Macaca fascicularis: one gene and its partners. The protein of the gene in region 2 binds, or shares a complex with, the protein of the main gene of each other region. Links are inferred from orthologs where the notes say so. Each region holds a gene or a part of one and is shown on either strand. Other genes may lie near its edges.

Region 1 (7,071 bases), about 2.8 Mb from region 2:
CTAAAATGTATTCTATTGCTATGCTCAGCTTAGAGGCAAAAATAAGAATCTATAATTGCAATTTCTTATGTGTGGGATCCACAGGAAAGTGAAGAAGATACAGAGAAAGAAGAAAAGAAATGGGAACACACATATTTGAAGGTGACATGAACATTTGGGATGCCTTCCCTCCTCCAAGCACCCGTCTGGGAAGGAAACCAGACGATATTGCAGCCCCAGGTCGCCAAGGCCAGAGGCCATTGGAGCCAAGTGTCCACACGTGGATGACCTTGGAGGAAATGAGAAATCAGGTCGGGGTGGAGGCAGGCAATTTAAAAGGACTTATTTGTTATTTAATGTTCCTTAAAAGGAACATCTGGGCTACACGGAAACTTTTAGCAGTATGTATCTGTACCTTATATGGAAATTCACTAATATTCCTGAAAGACTCAGAGACTGGCTGCCTTACGGTTGTGTTTCCGAAGACAACGGGGGGTAGGACAAGGAGAAGAAGTCATGGGGAAAAATTTATGTTTGTTCTCACTTATTTCTCTCAAAAAACATTTAATAAGCACCCACTCTGCACCAGAAATTATGCTCGGTGCTAGGGATACAATCATGAACGAGATGCAGTGTGTGCCCCCAGAGGGAATATTCTGGTCTTCTCTGAACGCGCAGGAATAAGGATGTGAGTACACAGTGATGACAGCAATGTTCCATTCCCCTGCATCTGCTGTCTCTTCAGAAGCACATGGTCTTAAAAGAAGATAAATTTAGGTTGAAGTTCTATGTGATTTAAGATCATATTTTTAAAAAAGTAAGCCGAGCCAGAAATATTTACTGAACGCTGTCAGGGTTCTCTCTGCGTTTTCCATATGTTCCTGTGGTCAGGGCAAATTGGATGGGGTTGGCAGAGAAGCTGTTCATTAACAAAACCACAGAACCAGGACACTCTTGTTCAGCTCAGCCTCTCTTCCGTCTGCACAGATTTGGCTCCATGGGACCCATCGCACGGAGGGCCAGTGCTTCCTTACCCAGTTAACGGGAAGAGAGACGCAGTCATCTTTTAAAGAGCTGTCATTGCCATGGAAACGGTTTTCGCCACTGCCAATGGCGGCAGTATCCTCCTAATGCATTCCAAGGACACGCTGCTCCTCCTGATCAGAACATTAACACAATCCCACCAGCACATGCTTTCCCTGACGTTTTTTCAGGAAAGCTACTGTGATTTGGCCACCCCCTCCCTGGAATAACCGGTGCCCTGAGCCCATGGGGAGATGCGAGAAACTAAGGCCAGGAGCCCCGCAGCTGCTGCTGCAGCCCAGAGGCAGGAAGGGGGCCGGGTGACGCCCAGCCTCTGCTACCCAAGAGTTTCCCCAATGAAGAGATTCCAGGGTCTCCCAAGGCTTCCTAATTCCAAATCCAGTGACCTCTTCCCATGCCTTGTCCTCCCTAACGTGCTGCAGCATTTGATACCAGCCCTACTTCCTTCTTTTCTCTTTCCTCTCTGGGTGGCTGTGACTGTGCTCAGTCCAGCTCTCTCCTCCCTCTCCCCCGCTCCAACTGCTCCTCCTCTGTAATGTTTCAAAGATTGTCTTCAGCTCTGGGCCAGGGATTGAGAGAGTGCGGCTGACTGGGGAAGACACACCAACACGCCCCCAGGAAGACCCCTGAAGAACCTCTGTGGATGGTGTGTCCTCAGACTTTTAAAGTCTCTAAGCCCTGGGAAGCTTGTCTTTTAATCCTAATAACCTCCCCTTTCCTACCTGTGCCAAAATTAAAGACTTTCCAAGTATAAAATTCTGCTATCCAGGATTTATCAAAGCAAGACTTTCCTTTCTTCTTCTTTGTTTTGTGCCCCAGGTGCTCAACTACATTCAGCCCGACCACCAGGGAATCCCACCCCGCGCAGGCTGTGCTCCAGACTAGGAACCCTAAGCCAGCAGCGCGGCCTCACTATGCGGAAACCCAGCTGCTCTCGTAAACTTGTTGTGGATGTCAGAGCAAAGTCCAAATCAGCTCAGAAATACCCGAGTGATCTACAGATCACAAGACTTCTTCTGATAAGATGTGGCATTTACTGGTGACATGTCCAGCAACAGCGACAAAGAACCAGAGAAGGCTCACGAAGCTGACCCTGGAGCAGGAAGTTTGCCTGCCTTCCCCAAGCTTGCTGCTGTGTATTGTTTACTTTCTAAGTTGCACGGTGACCTCATCTCTATGCTGTTTGCTAATTTGTTCACCTGGCCGCCTTACCCTCTAACTGCTCTGGTGCCTTTCATGGAGATAACTTTGCGGCTCTCCTTTTCCACCCATGATTCACACAATAGAAACTTCACAGAGAGAAAACCTGCGGCACACCCACAGCAGCACCCTGAGGGACAGAGTGTGTGGCACACACACGTGGACCCACAGTCAACACCACAGACATCCACGTGTCACCAGAACACACTTGTGCACACCACAGACCTACACGGACTCAAGACGCCCTGTATTTCTCCTGTCCCAAGTGTAAAGGAATAATTATATGACCAAGCTCACTACTTGCCATCGGTGCTAACTCTAAGTTCCGTGAGAGGGGACCTGAGCCTGGGAGGCTCTCGGTGTTCGTGAAACAAATAAATGATACATAGGCACGTGAAAACCCAAACCATCTCACCTTCATGCAGCCACACGGCGTCCAGAGAGCCCTTTCCTTTACATGATCTCATTCCATCTTTGCCAAGGGCTGTGACTCAGATGGGCTAACAGTGGTGCACTGAGGCTCTCAACCATTAAGAGACACGCCCCAGGTCACATAGCCGGGAAGCAGAGAGCTGAGACTCGAATTCACTTCTCCTGATCTGAATCCTATCTTCTCTATTCTACACCAAATGGCCTCATGTAAGCATAGATACACATGCACACACTTACATACAGACTTAGAGGGGAGAAACCTGCTCTTTCACACTGATGGAAATAACCACATTCACATACACACCTACAGTGACCTGTGCACACAGAGTCACACAATCACGTGTGCCTAGGTATAGACACCCATGCCCTCCCCACCCCATTCTGTCCTCTATCCAAGACCACGGGCAATGCAACACTGCGTGAGGAGTCGGTCAGGACTGTGGGTTATAATCCACCCCCAGCCTCTAAATTCCCATCCAAGAAAGCAGTAGACCATGAGTTTTTTTAATAAGATCTCCCCGTTCTTGGACTAACTTCCGAAACCTTAAAACTCATAGAATCTTAATTCAACCATAGGTAATAATAACACCTCCCATTTATCGGGGGTCCCCTCATGTACCTTCACATAAGGTCTAGAACTCGACGTCTACCACATCCTATAGGGAAACTAGCAGGTGAGCTATGTAATGCTGCCCCATCCTACAGACAAGAAAACTGAGGCCCAAGGAAGTGAAGTTCCTTGCTCAGGGTGCCGGCTAATAAGCAGGATTGGGACTTGAATACAGAGTTTTAAGTCCAAGTGAGCCCAGAGCTCTTTGAGAAACACCCCATTGAGATAATGTCACTGAACCCTGCTTCATCTTTTTAGAGATAAGAAAACTGATTCCCCCACCTCCACCCCTGCTGCCTCTCTGGGAGGGCCCAGCATGCTGGAAGCAGAATTGGAACTGGACTCTTGGTTTGACTCCCAGGACTAAACTCCTCTCCGGACCCCAAGATACATACCCACTGCTCCAGCCCCCAAAGGAGAGGGTATTGTTCAACCAACCTTGGACCACAGAAATCGCTTTTGTCCTGAACACCCGGGGCCGGGATCTTCAGACAGGAGGTCTCTGTGGTAGGCTCTCCTCCCTGTCAGCTGGAAGTTGTGTCCAATGAGAAGTCAGACCCAGCTCTCCCAGGGAGAAGATGCCACGACTTTGGTGCTGACAATTTTCTGAGTGTCTCAGAAGATGCTTTGGCCGTCCATATATATAGTATCTTCCAGGAGCTGAGCTCATGGCAGCCAATCCAGAGAGCCATGGGCTGGCTCACCTGCCTCCACCTGTTACCACCCAACCCAGGGCTGCTCCCCGCTCCTCCAATGATAGGAGGCTTAGCTCAGCTACCCTGGAAAAAACAGTTTCACTTGACAACTTCCTTATTGCACCCAAACCCCAATAAGAAACCAAAGCTCAGAAAATAACCTAAGGTCTGGCTGGGGAAAGCCCCACCTTAGAGTTGAAAACAAGCCTTAATGGGAAACGCAGGTTAGGGAAGAAAGTGGAGGTAGCTTTACTGCCTTTACAACATCCCTCAGTTATCTTTGAAGATTAGTGGGTACCTAGAAAGAAAGGTCAGCGATGGGATACATACGTCCCTTGACCTGGAGACAGCCCAGAAGAAAGAGCCCACAAGAGCCACCTGCTCCAGATCTGCTGCGCCCGGGAAGGGTTGCCACGGATCTTGAGAGAACATTCTAAGAAGTCCTAAAAAGTCAGAGTTCCACTTTCTGTAATGCCTTATTTAAAAAAAGAGTGTAAATACATGTTTATAATCAGAAAAGAAAAACTAGTTTTATTAAAATGAAAGCAAAGGCCGGGCGCGGTGGCTCATGCCTGTAATCCCAGCACTTTGGGAAGCCAAGGCAGGCGGATCACATGAGGTCAGGAGTTCAAGACCAGCCTGGCCAACATGGTGAAACCCCATCTCTACTAAAAATACAAAAATTAGCCAGGTGTGGTGGCAGACACTTGTAATCCCAACTACTCAGAAGGCTGAGGCAGGAAAGTCACTTGAACCCAGGAGGCAGAGGTTGTAGTGAGCTGAGATCACGCCACTGCACTCCAGACTGGGTGACAGAGCGAGACTCTGTCTCAAAAAAAAGTTAAGAAATTCTATTTTGGTTCATTAACACAGGGAGGCATTACAAAATAAATACGGAGGCACCAGACTTTGGAGTCAGCCCCGTCTGGAGACACCTGCCAGCTATGTAACCTCAGCAGAGGACACAATGTCGCTGAGCTTGTGCTCACTTATAAAACAAGTGGTCATCTCAGAGGGTAGTTGTAGGGCCAAATGTGCTAATGCTTATAAAGAAAAGAAGGAGGCCAGGCATGGTGGCTCACATCTCTAATCCCAGCACTGTGGGAGACCAAAGCAGGAGGATTGCTTGAGCCCAGAAGTTCAAAACCAGCCTGGACAACCTAGTGAGATCTTATCTCTACTAAAAATTTTAAAAATTAGCCAGGCATGGTGGCACATGCATGTAGTCTCAGCTACTCAGGAGGCTGAGGCAGGAGGATTGCTTGAGCCCAGGAGGTCAAGGCTGCAGTGAGTCGTGATCATGCTACTGCACTCCAGCTTAGGCAGCAGAGTGAGATCCTGTGTCAAAGGAAAAAAGAAGAAAGGAAGGAAAGGAAGGAAAAAAAGAAAGAAAAGAAGGAAGAAAGGGAGGGAGGGAGGGCGGGCGGAAGGAAGGAAGGGAGGAAGGGAGGGAGGGAGGGTATGGAGTGCCAAACATCTTTCTTTCTGTGTATTAACAGTGCCTGGTACTTGTAAGGGTTCAATAAAGGCCCAATATTTTATTACGGGCAACAGAGTTATTAATGCTTCATTCATTCTGTCAACAGGTTTTGGATCCAGCTATGTGCCAGACACTGTCTCAGCACTAAATTTAGAGTTTATTAGTCAAGAAGTCACCCAGCCTTCAAACAAAGGTTAAATAATATTACATATTTTTCATTTATTTAATGAAACTATTCTGTCACCCACTTCTTCCAGGCCCTGTGTGTATTGTATGTGTTCTTTCTTATTCTGAGGTGAATATGCCTGGCCTGGCCCAGCCCTCACAGAGTCCACAAAGTAGTTGGGAAGAGAGAAACACACAGAGAAAACCATACAAGCAAGCAGAAGGGAATGGGAAGTTGTTTAATGCATACAGAGTTTCAGTTTGAGAGGAATGTTGTACCACCACCTCCACCATTGAACCATCTCCACAACTTTTGAGATGTGGAGGATTTTCACAAGGCAAACTCAAACTCAACTTTTGAGTTGTGGAGATGGTTCAGTGGTAGAGAGTGGTACAACAATCAAAATGTACTTAATGCCACTGCACCGTACACTTTAAAAAGGTTAAAACAGTCAACTTTATGTCATGCATATTTTACCACAATAAAAAGAAGGGGAGGGGCAGAGAGCCACGTGGGACACTGTGCAGGCACCTCCCATGTACCCAGCAATCCCATCTGCAGGTACATGCGCTCCTAGGTTCTCACGGGAGGGAAAGCCGTCATGGGCCGCTCTGAGCATTCCACACCTTTTCCATCAGGGGTCTAGGGGAGCAACCTAGCCCTGCCCTCAGTGCCTGCCAAAGATCACGTCCTGGGCTGGAAATCTGGAGACAGACTCTGGCAGCTACCTGACCCGGGGCCAAGGTCGGCTACACTATGTGTGAGCCCCCATGCAAAATGAAAACAAAGCACCCTTGCTCAAAAAGTATTAATAGTTTCAAGACAGACAGCAGAACTTTAAACCAAGCACCAGGCCCTTCTGAGTGCACACCCTGTGCAACTGTCCAGGTCACACAGCCTTGAAGGGGGCTCTGAAGGTGACAGTTCCCAACCATGTGCTGGGAGGGAAGATGCGAGAGGGAGACAGAGGGAGATTGAGACAGAATATTTTTGAAATGTTTATTTAAGTATAACATATAAAAAGGTACGCAGATCACAAGGAGATAGCTCCATGAATTTTCACAAAGGGAATAAACCTGTGTAAACCAGCACCCAGATGAAGAAAGAGAACATTCCTGGCACCCCAGAACCCGCCTTGTTCCCCTCATGACTCCCAGATTAGATTAGTTTTGCCTATTTTGGAGCATCATCGGTCTGCATGTTTTCTTTTACGCCTGGCTTTTTTCACTGCATGTCTGCGGGACTCAGCCATACTGCTGTGCTGTCATTCTCAGACAGACAACCCCAAGTGTCAGAGCCGGTGCGGGGCAAACAGAATTCTCATACGCTGCTGGTAGGAGTGGAAAATGGTGCAACTACTTGGAAAAATCGGCTGGCAATATCTACCAAAGCTGAACGAACACCTGCCCTATGACCCAGCAATTCCACCCACGGATAGATACATAACAGAAATGCATTCCCATGG
Region 2 (7,007 bases):
CCGTGAAACCCCGTCTCTACTAAAAATACAAAAAACTAGCCGGGCAAGGTGGTGGGCGCCTGTAGTCCCAGCTACTCCGGAGGCTGAGGCAGGAGAATGGCGTAAACCCGGGAGGCGGAGCTTGCAGTGAGCTGAGATCCGGCCACTGCACTCCAGCCCGGGCTACAGAGCAAGACTCCGTCTCAGAAAAAAAAAAAAAAAAAAAAAAAAAAAAAAGAAAAGAAAAGAAAGAAAGATAATAAAAGAAAGAAAAGAAAGATCCCTACTTCAGAGCCTTAGCCGCCCTAGAACTTATGCTGTGTGGAGAGTTGTTCCAGCACTTGCATTGGGTCCTCACAGTAGCCCTGGGAGCAGGCAATCTCCAGATTTCAGGGGGAAAATGACACAGGGTGTCTAACGTGTGCAAGATCATATAGCCAGAACAAGCCGGGGAGCTGGGACAGTCCCGGGCATTTGGGCTCTTGAGTCTACGTTAGTACATCTCAGCTCCGCAGCCCTTTGTGTGCAGGGAAATGTGGGAAACAAAATCTGAAATTGTAGCCTCAACCCAGAAAAGTCACACAGGGAGATAGTGACAGACCTGGGAGCTGATTCCCAAGTCCAGGGAACAGCCCACCGTGGGGTGTGAGCTGGGGCTTCCCTGGCTGTCCCCTGGGAAGAAGGAAGGAGGGCAGCCATCTTACTTCCTCCCCAAGTCACAATAATTGCGTTCCCTGTTGAGCAGACCTGACTGGGTGATTGGCCAGCTTACTTCCTTATTTCTCCAGCTGGAGGGATACAGCAGCCAGACCTCACTCTACTTCCTGCCTCCCTCGCCCCTGACCCCGCCCTCTGCTCCGGTGGCACTGTGCCCACCTTACACTCACTTCCTGGCCTCTCCCAACCTCCAGGCCCTCCCCAGTCCAGACTCCTCCCCCTCCCAGGCTTAACCTTGACAGCAGCTTCAGCCTCTGAGCCCGTGGGTTCCCACCCACAGTGGGTGAACCGAGGTGAAGGAGCCTGCCTCTGAGTCCTGCTCCTTCCATCCTTATGACAGCACTCATGGTTATGGGATGGGTGAGGGGCAGGAAGACCCTTACCAGAAGCAGAGGGCAGGGCAGGCTCTCCGCATTCCTGCCTGGGAGGACCTGGGCCTTGTCCCGAAGCCATTTTTCAGGTCTCAGTGGAGGACGGGGTCAGCCTGCGGGGATGGGCGAGAAAAAGCAGAGATGGGGTGAGCATGGACCTGTGATTGGGGACCCCAGACAGGTTGCCATGTCCACATAGGAGAGAGGGTTCCCCATTCCCAGAAAGGCCCTCAGTCCTCTGGGACTTTGGCCAGGCTGGTCTCAAACTCCTGACCTGTGAGTCTGCCTCTGCTTTCCAAAGTGCTGGGATTACGGGTGTGAGCCACTGTGCCTGGCTTCCTCTGGGACTTTTTATTCTCACTCCAGCATGGGTCCCAGTGAAGTCTGCTGGGAGGAAACAACTTCTGAGCACTTCACTGGTGACCCTTCGAGGGAGACAGGGTAAGAAGGTGAGGCAGCCAAGGGCAGACTGAGGTATCTGCACCCTCGAGGAGAGTGTGGCTGCAGCAGTGCCCGCTGGCTCTCAAGCTCATACCACTCCTGGGGCAAGAGCCTGGGGGGTTTTAGCTGTTCCTGGGGCCTCCTGCAGCCCACCCAGCACATGCTTATTGCAAGCGAGCCACTGCCCAGCCAATGGCCCATGAAGGCTGCCCTCAGAGGCCCTACTTCCCTCTGGCTGGTCAGAACACACCTGTTTTTTAACTCTGGGCTGTTAGCCGCAAACATTTCCTGAGAGCCTAAGATATACTCTCCCACTTAGGAGCACTCTGGGTGTTGAACATTGAAAACTCACATGAACCCAGCAGGGTGAGCACCATCATACCCACTTTGCAGCCTGGAAAAGTGAGGCATAAAGAGTTGAGTGCCCGAGGTCACATCATTAGTGACGGAAAGTCGGGTTGTTTGTCTGAATCTCCATGAGTCCATGTACTCAACAAGCATTTAAGATTTCTTCTTGTTTGTGGACCTCAGAGGGTGTCCCTTCTCAGGGCAACTTTCCCTGTTTACCTCCTGCCTGTGCCTTCCTCACCCCTGCCTTGCAGTGACCGGAGGGAGCCCTCAGGATCAGGGCCTTCTTCGAAGCCCCACAACCTGCCTCGTATTCCCACCACACACCTAGTCTTCTGTCCCCAGCCAACTTTCCTCTTTGCCTGGTCCCGACCGCAGCACCAACGTGCTGTGACCCCTCATCAGGGCGTTTCCTGGATGTCAGCTGTTTCACTTTCAGTTTGCACCCCTCCCAGAGCCCCATTTCCCCAGGCACCCTCCGGCCCTCAGAAGGAAAGCGCCCTCCTCCTATCTCAGAGGCAGGGGGTGTGCAGCCCCACCCTGGGCCAAGCACACAGCCCCACCCCCACCGCCCAGGGCCTGGGGACCTTCGCCCACCCTCCTTCCGCTAGGCCTGGGAGTGTTTTCGAAACTGCCCCAAGAGCTCTCGAGAAGGGGTGGAGGAGGACTGGACCACCTGTGCCCTCACCCAGCTCCCCACTCCTTGCTCTGCCGGACACGGACAGGGCGAAGGCAGACTCTCCTTTCCTCCACCTCTAGGGGCAAGGCCTTGTTAAAACAGAACTTTGCAGCCGGGCACAGTGGCCCACGAGGTCAGGAGTTCAAGACCAGCCTGGCCAACATAATGAAACGCCGTCTCTACTAAAAATACAAAAATTAGCTGGGCATGGTGGCGCACGCCTGTAGTCCCAACTACTCGGGAGGCTGAGGCAGGAGAATCGGTTGAACCTGGGAGGCAGAGGTTGCAGTGAGCCGAAATCGCGCCACTGCACTCGACCCTGGGCAACAGAGTGAGACTCTGTCTCAAAAAACAAAAAATAAAACCCCCACCCCCCCGGAGCTCCTTAAATAAGATGGCCTTCCTTCTTCCCCAGTCTCCAGAACCCAGCACCCTCAGGACAGTAGGGCCAGAGGATGCTGACGGCACCCCCAACTCCCTCTACCAACAACCCAGGCTCCTGAGGGGAGCAGGTAGAGCCTCAGGACACCCCCCAAGGCCAGCAACCTATGCTGACTCAGGCCTAGCTCTGTCCCCCAATCCAAGTGGCCTAAATTCCCGGTGAGGGGAGCCACCCCCGACTTCCTGGGCTTGCTGGGCCCTGATGAATGTTCCCCAGGGATACATGCCTGGCCAGGCCCTGGACCCAGTCTAGGGATGTTGGGCAGCAGGAAGCGCTGAGAAAGTTCTCTCTCTGCCCTTGACCTTGGCTCTGACCTCCACCCCCATCTCCCAGACTGTTAAAGGACCCAGTTCTCACAGTTCTCCGGCATCCAGGGCTGGGGCAAGAGGGGAAGCTGTGAGGGGCAGCCAGAAGTAGGCTTGCCACGATCAGGTCCCCAGCCGGGCAGGCGGACCTGCCCAGGTAAGCTTTGAGCTTCCCCTTCCCCACCCGGCTCCTGGCAGGCTCCCTGCCCCACCCTGGGGCTGGGGCTGCTGAGATTTGGGAGGACGGGCAGGACCCTTCCAGCTTACCTGCCAGGATCCTGGCCCAACCCGGGTGGCTCAGCAGGGCAGAGAGAGAGGTCCCGAGGGGCTGGCGGCTGCTGCTCCCAGGGGCTGAGTGGGAGCTCGGCTTCCAGGAACAGGCGTCAGTGCATTCCTGGCATCTGGATGTAGCCTTTGCTTGTCCCTGTGCTGCCTGAGGGACCCGCGAGACTCCAGTGATCATAGAGGTGCCAGCGGCAACCGGCTCCAATCAGCTCCCTCTAGAGGAAGTTGCTCTGTGGCCACCGGATGCAGACGCACAGGCCTGCAGCCCGGAGGGGTGATCTGGGTGGGCCAGGCCCAGGAGCAGCTCCCGCCCACTTTCCCCACCCCACCTCCCAGCCAGGCAGAGCGGCTGTCAGTGGCCCACTGCTTTTCCCATCCCTGATTCTCAATCCTTGTCTTTGATCTTCTCCCCCATCTCTACATCAATCAATACCAATAAAAAACCCAGGGTGAGAAGTTTCTTAAGCACTGCTGCATGCCTGGCACTTTAGCAACTATTGTCTCGTTGGATCTTCTCAACAACTCTTGTAAGTGAGTGCTGTTGACAATACCCATTCAGATGAACAAACAGAGGCTCAGCTGGTTTAAGGTGCTCTCTAAAGGTCACTGAGCTGGGTTAATAATCAGTTCTGGGCCGGGCGTGGTGGCTCATGCCTGTAATCCCAGCACTTGGGGAGGCTGAGGCGGGCGGATCACTAGGTCAAGAGATTGAGACCATTCTGGCTAACAAAATCAGCTGGGCGTGGTGGGCGGGTGCCTGTAATCCCAGCTACTTAGAAGTCTGAGGCAGGAGAATCGCTTGAACCCGGGAGGCGGAGGTTGCAGTGAGCCAGGATCGCACCATTGGACTCTAGCCCGGGGGACGGTGCAAGACTCCATCTCAAAAAAAAAAAAAAAAAAAAAAAAATAGTAATAATCAGTTCGGGCCGGGCGCGGTGGCTCAAGCCTGTAATCCCAGCACTTTGGGAGGCCGAGACGGGCGGATCATGAGGTCAGGAGATCGAGACCATACTGGCTAACACGGTGAAACCCCATCTCTACTAAAATACAAAAAAAATTAGCCGGGCGAGGTGGCGGTTGCCTGTACTCCCAGCTACTCGGGAGGCTGAGGCAGGAGAATGGCGTGAACCCGGGAGGCGGGGCTTGCAGTGAGCTGAGATCCAGCCACTGCACTCCAGCCTGGGCAACAGAGCCAGACTCCGTCTCAAAAAAAAAAAAAAAAAAAAATCAGTTCTGTAGTCGCGTTGGGGAATACTAATACTAAATTGAGATTCAACCTGCAATTCAGACCTGTGCACCATGCACCTTGGTGGTCTCTGGAGATCTGAAATCCTGAAGGTGATAGTGAAGTAAACGGAGATTAAAACTCAATAGAGGCCGGGCACGGTGGCTCACGCCTGTAATCCCAACACTTTGGAAGGCCGAGGTGGGAGGATTACTTGACCCCAGGAGTTCAAGACCAGCCTGGGCAACAAAGGGAGACCATGTCTCTACAGAAAAAAAAATTAAAAACTAGCTGGGTATGGTGGTTCACACCTGTGCGTGTGGTGGTCCCAGCTACCTAGGATACTGAGGCAGGAGGATCACCTGAGCTGCGGAAGTTGAGGCTGCAGTGAGCCATGTTTGCACCACTGCATTCCAGCCTGGGTGACAGAGCAAGACCCTGTCTCAACAACAACAACAAAAAAGGCAGCCAGCTGTGGTGTGTCACGCCTATAATCCCATCACCCCTCCAGGCTGCCTATAATCCCATCCCAGCCATTTGGGAGGCCAAGGCAAGAGAATCGCTTGAGGCCAGGTGCAGGAGTTCCAGGCCAGCCTGGGCAACAGCAATACCCTGCTTATATGGAAAAAAAAAAATTAGCAAAGCATGGTGGTGTATGCCTGTGGTCTTAACTACTGGGGAGGCTGAGGTGGGAGGATTGCTTGAGCCCAGGAGGTTGAGGCTGCAGTGAGCTGTGATCGTACCAGGGCAACAGAGGGAGAGTTCTGTCTAAAAAAAAAAAAAGGCCGGGCATGGTGGCTCCCGCCTGTAATCCCAGCACCTTGGGAGCCCTAGGCAGGCAGATCACCTGAGGCCAGGAGTTCAAGACCAGCTTGCCCAACACAGCGAAACCCTGTCTCTTTTAAAAATACAAAAAAGGGAGGCCGAGGCAGGCGGATCACGAGGTCAGGATATCGAGACCATCCTGGCTAACATGGTGAAATCCCCATCTCTACTAAAAATACAAAAAAATTAGCCAGGCATGGTGGCGGGTGCCTGTAGTCCCAGCTACACGGGAGGCTGAGGCAGGAGAATGGCGTGAACCCAGGAGGCGGAGTTTGCGGTGAGCCAAGATCACGCCACTGCACTCTGGCCTGGGCAGCAGAATGGCAACAGAATGAGACTCTGTTTAAAAAAAAAAAAAAATGGTCAGGTGCAGTGGTTCACGCCTGTAATCCCAGCACTTTGGGAGGCCGAGGCTGGCGGATCACCTGAGGTTGGAAGTTTGAGACCAGCCTGACCAACATGGAGAAACCCCATCCCTATTAAAAATACAAAATTAGCCTGGCGTGGTGGCACATACCTGTAATCCTAGCTACTCAGGAGACTGAGGCAGGAGACTCGCTTGAACCCGGGAGGCAGAGTTGCGGTGAGCTGCGATTGAGCCATTGCACTCCAGCCTGGTCAACAAGAGCGAAACTCCATCACACACACAAATAAAAGGCGGGCATGGTGGCGTGCACTTATAATCCCAGCTACTTGGGAGGTTGAGGCAGGAGAATCACTTGAACCCGGGAGGCGGAGGTGGCAGTGAGCTGAGATTGCACCACTGCACTCCAGCCTGGGTGACAAGAACGAAACCCTGTCTCAAAAAAATAAAATTAAAATAGGGTTGGGTGCGGTGGCTCACACTTGTAATCCCAGCATTTTGGGAAGCCAAGGCAGGTGGGTCACGAGGTCAAGAGATCGAGACCTTCCTGGCCAACATGGTGAAACCCCGTCTCTACTAAAAATACAAAAATTAGCCGGGCGTGGTGGTAGGCGCCTGTAGTCCCAGCTACTCAGGAGGCTGAGGCAGGAGAATCGCTTGAAGCTGGGAGGCGGAGGTTGCAGTGAGCCAAGATCGTGCCACTGCACTCCTACCTGGAGACAGAGCTAGACTCCATCTCAAAAAATTAAAAATAAAAATAAAAACAACTAAATAAATAGACTTAGCGGGGTCTGTGCTACCACCTGGACACATAAAACCTGGATGCTAAGAGGGAAGACATACTGTCTGGCTGCTGGGAGTGTTCTTGAGGACAGAACAAACCCAAGAAGGACAGAGGTGTGTGCAGTCCTCGACAGCCCCCTGCCCTCAGGGTTCAGTTCCCTCCCTGCTTCTCCCTGTTTGCTCCCTGCCAAGCTTCCTGGGTCTCTCACATCTTCATCTCCCAAGTTTCCACCCCCTGTCCCC
Region 3 (7,056 bases), about 2.9 Mb from region 2:
GCTAACACGGTGAAACCCCGTCTCTACTAAAAAATACAAAAAACTAGCCGGGCGAGGTGGCGGGCGCCTGTAGTCCCAGCTACTCAGGAGGCTGAGACAGGAGAATGGCCCGAACCCGGGAGGCGGAGCTTGCAGTGAGCTGAGATCCGGCCACTGCACTCCAGCCTGGGCGACAGAGCGAGACTCCGTCTCAAAAAAAAAAAAAAAAAAAAAAAAAAAGAAAAGCATTTGAGGCAAAAGTAGCAACGCCCACGGAAAACTTCAGAAGACAGCGATCAGCTTCACAAGGAATCTGAGGATCAGGAGGTGGAGTGTGGAAACATACTGGAAAGGGTTTACAATAAAATATAAAATCTTAGAATAGTGGCGACGATTTGCACAACTTTGTGAGTATACTAAAACCCTCTGTACTGTGCACTTTAAAAGGGTGAACTTTATGTTAAGTGAATTACGTCTCAAAAATAAATACAAGTTCCTAGAACGTGTTCATAGGTGACACAATCTCAGACTTTGGGGAATAATTGTTGACAACGGAATTAACAAATGAAGATTCAGGCGGGGCGCGGTGGCTCACGCCTGTAATCCCAGCACTTTGGGAGGCCGAGACGGGCGGATCACGAGGTCAGGAGATCGAGACCATCCTGGCTAACACGGTGAAACCCCGTCTCTACTAAAAATACAAAAATTAGCTGGACCTAATGGCGGGCGCCTGTAGTGCTAGCTACTCGGGAGGCTGAGGCAGGAGAATGGCGTGAACCCGGGAGGCGGAGCTTGCAGTGAGCCGAGATCGCGCCACTGCACTCCAGCCTGGGCGACAGAGCGAGATTCCGTCTCAAAAACAAAAAAAAAAAAAAAAGAAGAAGAAGATCCAAAATTTCAGTCAATTCAGTGCTTTCTAAAAAATGGATAGCAGGGCGGGCGCAGTGGCTCACGCCTGTAATCCCAGCACTTTGGGAGGCTGAGGCCGGCGGATCACTTGAGGTCAGGAGTCCAGCCTGGCCAACATGATGGAAACCCCCTGGCTCTACTAAAAATATAAAAATTAGCCCAGCGTAGTGTCGGACGCCTGTAATCCCAGCTACTTGGGAGGCTGAGGCAGAAGAATCACTTGAATCCGGGAGGCGGAGGTTGCAGTGAACCAAGACTGTACCACTGCACTCCAACCTGGGCGACAAAGTGAGATTCTGTCTCAAAAAAACAAAACAAAACAAAAACAAAAAAAGTATTTGGTGTGGTGGCAAGCAACTATCAGGATGCTTGAAATTTCCACTTTCTCAGGAGGCATGTAATTATTTTAAAATTAGATATTAGGTTGAAATTAATGTTCATAATCCCTCTCGGGTATCTAGCATATTTTTTATCTAAAAGTCTAAAACCTCATAAATTTACCTAACACTGCCCTTTAATGCTCTTCAAAACATAAAACTACTTTTCCAGCATTCTGGGACATTTAGGAATCACATTTTTGCAACGTAAAATTTCAAATTTATCTTTCCTTCATGTTCTCTCTTCTAGTGGCAAAATCAAGAAGAAATCTAATCTGAATGTTCCCTACCTTAACAATACAGACACTATCAGGTCCAATTTAAAGACTAATTTTTATTAAAAGATAAATTTGATCTATTTTTAGCCCATTTGGGATTACCTTAATTGGTCGTCACAGCAATGATTCAGGGCTAATAGAAACTAAAGAGATTTAGTACCATGAAGCAAAGTCACTTTTAGATTTTTGCCACCTAAGAACCGGGATGAATAGATTTTCTTATAGTTCATATTTAAATAATATATTTAATGTGATTCAGGCGCAGTGACTCACGCCTGTAATTCTAGCACTTTGGGAGGCCTATGAGGGGGGATCAGTTGAGGTCAGGGGTTCAAGACCAGCCTGGCCAACATGGTGAAACCCCGTCTCTACTAAAAATATGAAAAAATTAGCCAGGCATGGTGGCGGGCGCCTGCAATCCCAGCTACTCGGGAGGCTGAGGCAGGAGAATCACTTAAACCCAGGAGCTAGAGGTTGCAGAGAACTGAGATCGCACCACTGCACTCCAGCCTGGGCGACAGAGTGAGACTCCATCTCAAAAAAATAATAATAATAAAATAAATAAATAAATATATATATATATATATAAAATGTCCAATTTTATGGTCTTAATATCAAGAAAAACACATGCTAAGTAAACTATTTATCTTAGTTTAATCCAAATAAGATCTTACCTGAGTTCCTTGACATTGCTGGAACTGGCTGGGAGCTGACAAGTTGGGTCATGTATGCCTTCTGAAAACTGTATTTTACCCACAGTGATTTGCAACAATTTGTTACTTTGGGAGATGGATTGAGAACTTCTTTAGTTTCATAAACAATGCCATCATGTTTTTTCTTCTTGTTTTTTCCCTGTTGAAAAACATATTTTCAGAGGCTTTCCCCCATTTCTCAGTTAAATATTTGGTATTTTGGATAAATATTAATGTTTTAACAATATCAGCAGCATTTATTCCACATATAAGAGAGTTATGGATTAGAGTAGAAGGTGGATTAGCGTAGAAGGTGGACCAGAGTGAGGTCTTTTTCAATTTAGTTAAACATCTTTCTAGGCTGCTGCATCCTTATCACCTATTACACCTGCCTGCATCCTTATCTCCCATTAGTCTTTCTTCTCTCTCTCTCTTTTTTTTTCTTAGACGGAGTTTCGCTCTTGTTGCCCAGGCTGGAGTGCCATGGCGCCATCTCGGCTCACTGCTACCTCTGCCTCCTGGGTTCAAGCAATTCTCCTGCCTCAGTCTCCTGAGTAGCTGGGATTACAGGCATGTGCCACCATGCCTGGCTAATTTTGTATTTTTAGTAGAGACAGGGTTTCACCATGTTGGTCAGGCTGGTCTCAAACTCCTGACCTCAGGTGATCCACCCACCTCAGCCTCCCAAAGGGTTGGGATTACAGGCGTGAGCCACGGTGCCTGGCCTCTTTTCAAGAGCCACATTCCATCAGGGGAAGTGTGTAAATTGGTACACTGAGAAAAAGAGAGAAAAATTGGTATAGCCAAAATAAAGTAGATCAAAACCTAGAGAGGTGGAGAGGGGTGGAGATGGAATACAACACACTCTTTGTCCTATTTCCTCGTGGGTGTGTGTGTTTCCTCCCCAAAATAATTCTCATAGTCCTCTTTGATCCTTCATACACACACATTCTGTCTCTGCAAACACTTATATGAAGATTACTCTTCTGCCTCCTTTCCCTTTTCCCCTCCAATATTGTAGAATAAATCCAAATGAGATGAAGAATTGCATTAAGACTTTTTTTTTTTTTTGAGACGGAGTCTTGCTCTGTTGCCCAGGCTGGAGTACACATCTCAGCTGGAGTGCACATCTAGGCTCACTGCAACCTCTCCCTCTCAGGTTCAAGCGATTCTCCTGCCTCATCCACCCGAGTAGCTGGGATTACAGGTGTGTGCCACCACGCCCAGCTAATTTTTATATTTTTAGTAGAGACGGGGTTTCACCGTGTTGGCCAGGCTGGTCTTGAACTCCTGACCTCGTGATCTGCCCGCCTCGGCCTCCCAAAGTGCTGGGATTACAGGCGTGAGTCGTCACCATACCCGGCTGCATTATGACTTTTGTTGTCTTCCTGGGCATTTAATTCTTTTGACTTGAAGGGTGGCCACAGGGTTCAAAACTTTCTATTCTACCTCCTAAATCTACCTGCTATTCTAACTTCTAAATCTAAGTTACTGCAAAGGCAAAGAATGGATAAGACCACAATGAGCTGCTAAGATAATAGAGGCGGACTTCAGGAGCCTTACATCAGTGCTGTCTAATACAAATAAGTGAACCACATATATGGTTTTAAGTTTTCTAGTAGCTACATTTAATAAGTAAAAAGAAGTGAGTGAAATTAATTTTAATGATATATTTTATTTACTCTATCCCCAAATAAATCCAAATATTATCATTTCAACATGTAATCAATATAAAAAATTATTAATGAATTATTTTACATTCTTATTAATTTAAGTCTTCAAAATCTGGTATGCATTTTGCACTTACAGCACATCTCAATTCAGACTAGCCACATTTTGGGTACTCAGTAGCCACATGCAGTCAGTGGCTACTGTACTGTACTTTACCGGACAGCCAGCCATACAAACCAAGGGGAGAAAGACTGTCAAATAGAATTGTGACTCATCGTTTTTCAAATGTACCACATTTTCCAGTGTAGAATGCTACCTCAATATATTGCTTAAGTTTGTAATTCAGGCCACACTGGGGGAAAGGGAGCTGAGAAATGAGTTGTTGTGGGTTTCTGGGCATTTTTAGTGCCTTGGGCAGCCTGGCATTTTAACTAGACTCATTAGGCAAACTTCTGACCCTAATTTGATTTGTCAAGTAAGACATGCTGTTCAGCTCATGTGTCAGAGCCAGATCAGACCTGGATGAACTGATAAAAGTATTAAAATTCCTGGCTGGGTGCGGTGGCTCATGCCTGTAATTCAGCACTTTGGGAGGCCAAGGCGGGCGGATCATGAGGTCAGAAGATCAAGACCATCCTGGCTAACACGGTGAAACCCCGTCTCTACTAAAAATTCAAAAAATTAGCCGGTGTGATGGCACATGCCTGTAGTCCCAGCTACTCAAGAGGCTGAGGCAGGAGAATGGCTTGAACCCTAGAGGCAGAGGTTGCAGTGAGCCGAGATCGTGCCACTGCACTCCAGCCTGGGCGACAGAGTGAGACTCAAAAAAAAAAAAAAAAAACTGTTCCTAAATGAGCAAAGTTGATCATCAAGATGCAGCTACCAGGCGAGGTTCTTACCTGAAAGAGCTGGCTGACAGCTTTACCCATCAGCCTATTGTGAAACTGTCATTTTGTACTAGTCATTCATGTAACATTGCTAGACAACTGAGAATAAAATATCTAACCACAGCCTTTTAAACTAAACTATCAAGAATGTTGGATTTTATTTTTCCCAAGTAGGTTTTTATTATAATTTCCCTCAAACAATACTGCAGTATGTTAATAGGTACTTATGGAAAATAATTAATGCTAATTATATTTTTCATCTAAAACCTTTTTTTTTTTTGAAACGGAGTCTCTCGCTCTGTCACCCAGGCTATAGTGCAGTGGTGCCACCAAGCCCAGCTAATTTCTGTATTTTTAGTAGAGATGGAGTTTCACCAAGTTGGCCAGGCGGGTCTCAAACTCCCGACCTCAGGTGATCCATCCGCCTCGGCCTTCCAAAGTGTTGGGATTACACGCATGAGCCACCGTGCACAGCCTAAAACTTATTTTAAAATATATGTCAGGACCAGAAGTGGTGTGGCTTATGCCTGGAATCCCAATACTTTGGGAGGCCGAAGTGGGCTGATTGCTTGAGCTCAGGAGTTTGAGAATAGCCTGGGCAACATGGTGAAATCTGATCTCTACAAAAAAATACAAAAATTAGCGTGGTGGCGCACACCTGTAATCCCAGCTACTCGGGAAGCTGAGGTAGAATCACTTGAGTCTGGAAAATTGAGGCTGCAATGAGTCGTGTTTACACCACTGCATTCCAGCCTGGGGTACAAAGTGAGACCTTGTCCCAAAAAAAAAAAAAAAAAGAAAGAAAGAAAAAATATATACATATATATGTACATAAATGTCAGAAAAACACTATGCTGTTTTATGTAACTGTTAGTATAACTGGATAATTACCAGGCCGGGCACAGTGGCTCACCCTTGTAAACCCAGCACTTTGGGAGGCAGAGGCGGGTGGATCAATTGAGGTCAGGAGTTCCAGAACAGCCTGGCCAACATGGTGAAACCCCGTCTCTACTAAAAATACAAAAAGTAGCTGGGCATGGTGGCGCATGCCTGTAATCTCAGCTACTCAGGAGGCTGAGGCAGAAGAATAGCTTGAGCCTGGGAGGCAGAGGTTGCAGTGAGCCAAGATGGCACCACTGCACTCCAATCTGGGCAACAGAGTGAGATCTTGTCTCAAAAAAAAAAAAAAATTGCATAAATACCCTTAAGAAATGTTGGCCCTACCTGAAAATATTATATATAACCAGGAAATCTCAGAATTCATGAAAGCATGAGAATGTATCTGCACATGCTTCAGCAACCATTTAGTTGATGTATGTTGTCAATTTAATAATTACTGGTTTATGTTAGGTATCTTGTCTTATTATTATTATTTTCTTTTCCTTTACTTTTTTTTTTTTTTTTTTTTTTTTTTTGAGATGGAGTTTCACTCCTTTGGCCCAGGCTGGAGTGCAATGGTGCAATCTCGGCTCACTGCAACCTCCACCTCCCAGGTTCAAGCGATCCTCCTGCCTCAGCCTCCTGTGTAGCTGGGATTACAGGTGCATGCCACCGTGCCTGGCTAATTTTTTATTTTTTGTAGAGATGGGGTTTCACCATGTTGGCCAGGTTGGTCTCGAACTCCTGACCTCAAGTGATCCACCTGCCTCAGTCTCCCAAAGTGCTGGGATTACAGGCGTGAGCCACCATGCCGGGCCAAGTCTTATTATTTTGATATATATTTATGAAAGCTTTTACTTAATAAAATAATTTATTTTATCTTCTTTGTGGGTTGTTCTGATATAAAGCTTAAAATGCATTAGAAGTAAAGCTTTTGGCCAGGCATGGTGGCTCATACCTGTAATCCCAGCACTTTGGGAGGCCCAGATAGGTGCTTGAGATCAGGAGCTCGAGACCAGCCTGGCCAACATGGCAAAACCTTGTCTCTACTAAAAATACAAAAATTAGCCAGGCATAGTGGCACATGACTGTGGTCCCAGCTACTTGGGAGGCTGAGGCAGGAAAATCGCTTGAACCCAGGAAGCAGAGGTTGCAGTGGGGTGAGATTGCACCAATGCACTCCAGCCTGGGTGACAGAGCGACACTCCATCTCCAAAAAAAAAAGTAAATCTCCTATCATTTCTTTTGTTAATTATTAATTCATCTATGGGTTCACATTTTGCTGTCTATGTGTTGTAGGCTAAATAACAGCCTCACAAAATATCCACATCCTAATTCCCAGAACCTGTGAATATGTTACCCTACCTGGCAGAATGGACTCTGT

What was found.
Region 1: the proteins of BAK1 (region 2) and BNIP5 are in contact, whole or in part, in a crystal structure (PDB 8IGC), measured with the Homo sapiens proteins. The link is inferred for Macaca fascicularis from reciprocal best matches to the Homo sapiens genes BAK1 and BNIP5. Residues at the interface, in NP_001179.1 of Homo sapiens: Leu78, Ile81, Gly82, Ile85, Tyr89, Glu92, Phe93, Met96, His99, Leu100, Tyr110, Lys113, Ile114, Ser117, Leu118, Ser121, Asn124, Trp125, Gly126, Arg127, Val129, Ala130, Phe134, Ala180, Leu183; in NP_001010903.3 of Homo sapiens: Ile246, Ile247, Gln248, Met249, Ile250, Val251, Leu253, Leu254, Lys255, Arg256, Val257, Gly258, Asp259, Gln260, Trp261, Glu262, Glu264, Gln265, Ser266.
Region 3: the proteins of BAK1 (region 2) and PXT1 are in contact, whole or in part, in a crystal structure (PDB 8GSV), measured with the Homo sapiens proteins. The link is inferred for Macaca fascicularis from reciprocal best matches to the Homo sapiens genes BAK1 and PXT1. Residues at the interface, in NP_001179.1 of Homo sapiens: Ile81, Gly82, Asp84, Ile85, Asn86, Arg88, Tyr89, Glu92, Phe93, Met96, Leu97, His99, Leu100, Tyr110, Lys113, Ile114, Ser117, Leu118, Glu120, Ser121, Asn124, Trp125, Gly126, Arg127, Val129, Ala130, Phe134, Asn182; in NP_694535.2 of Homo sapiens: Ile78, Ile79, His80, Lys81, Leu82, Ala83, Met84, Gln85, Leu86, Arg87, His88, Ile89, Gly90, Asp91, Asn92, Ile93, Asp94, Arg96, Met97.

The regions. Positions count from the first base shown.
Region 1 is NC_088378.1:135,331,717-135,338,787, reverse strand, and holds the start of BNIP5 (protein BNIP5), read right to left. Parts: upstream 3,883-7,071; 5' UTR 3,704-3,882; intron 1-3,703.
Region 2 is NC_088378.1:138,114,725-138,121,731, reverse strand, and holds the start of BAK1 (bcl-2 homologous antagonist/killer), read right to left. Parts: upstream 3,785-7,007; 5' UTR 3,550-3,784; intron 1,493-3,549; 5' UTR 1,342-1,492; intron 1,181-1,341; 5' UTR 1,150-1,180; coding exon 1,080-1,149; intron 1-1,079. UniProt on the Homo sapiens protein: Plays a role in the mitochondrial apoptotic process. Upon arrival of cell death signals, promotes mitochondrial outer membrane (MOM) permeabilization by oligomerizing to form pores within the MOM.
Region 3 is NC_088378.1:135,244,532-135,251,587, reverse strand, and holds the start of PXT1 (peroxisomal testis-specific protein 1), read right to left. Parts: upstream 4,836-7,056; coding exon 4,806-4,835; intron 2,396-4,805; coding exon 2,218-2,395; intron 1-2,217.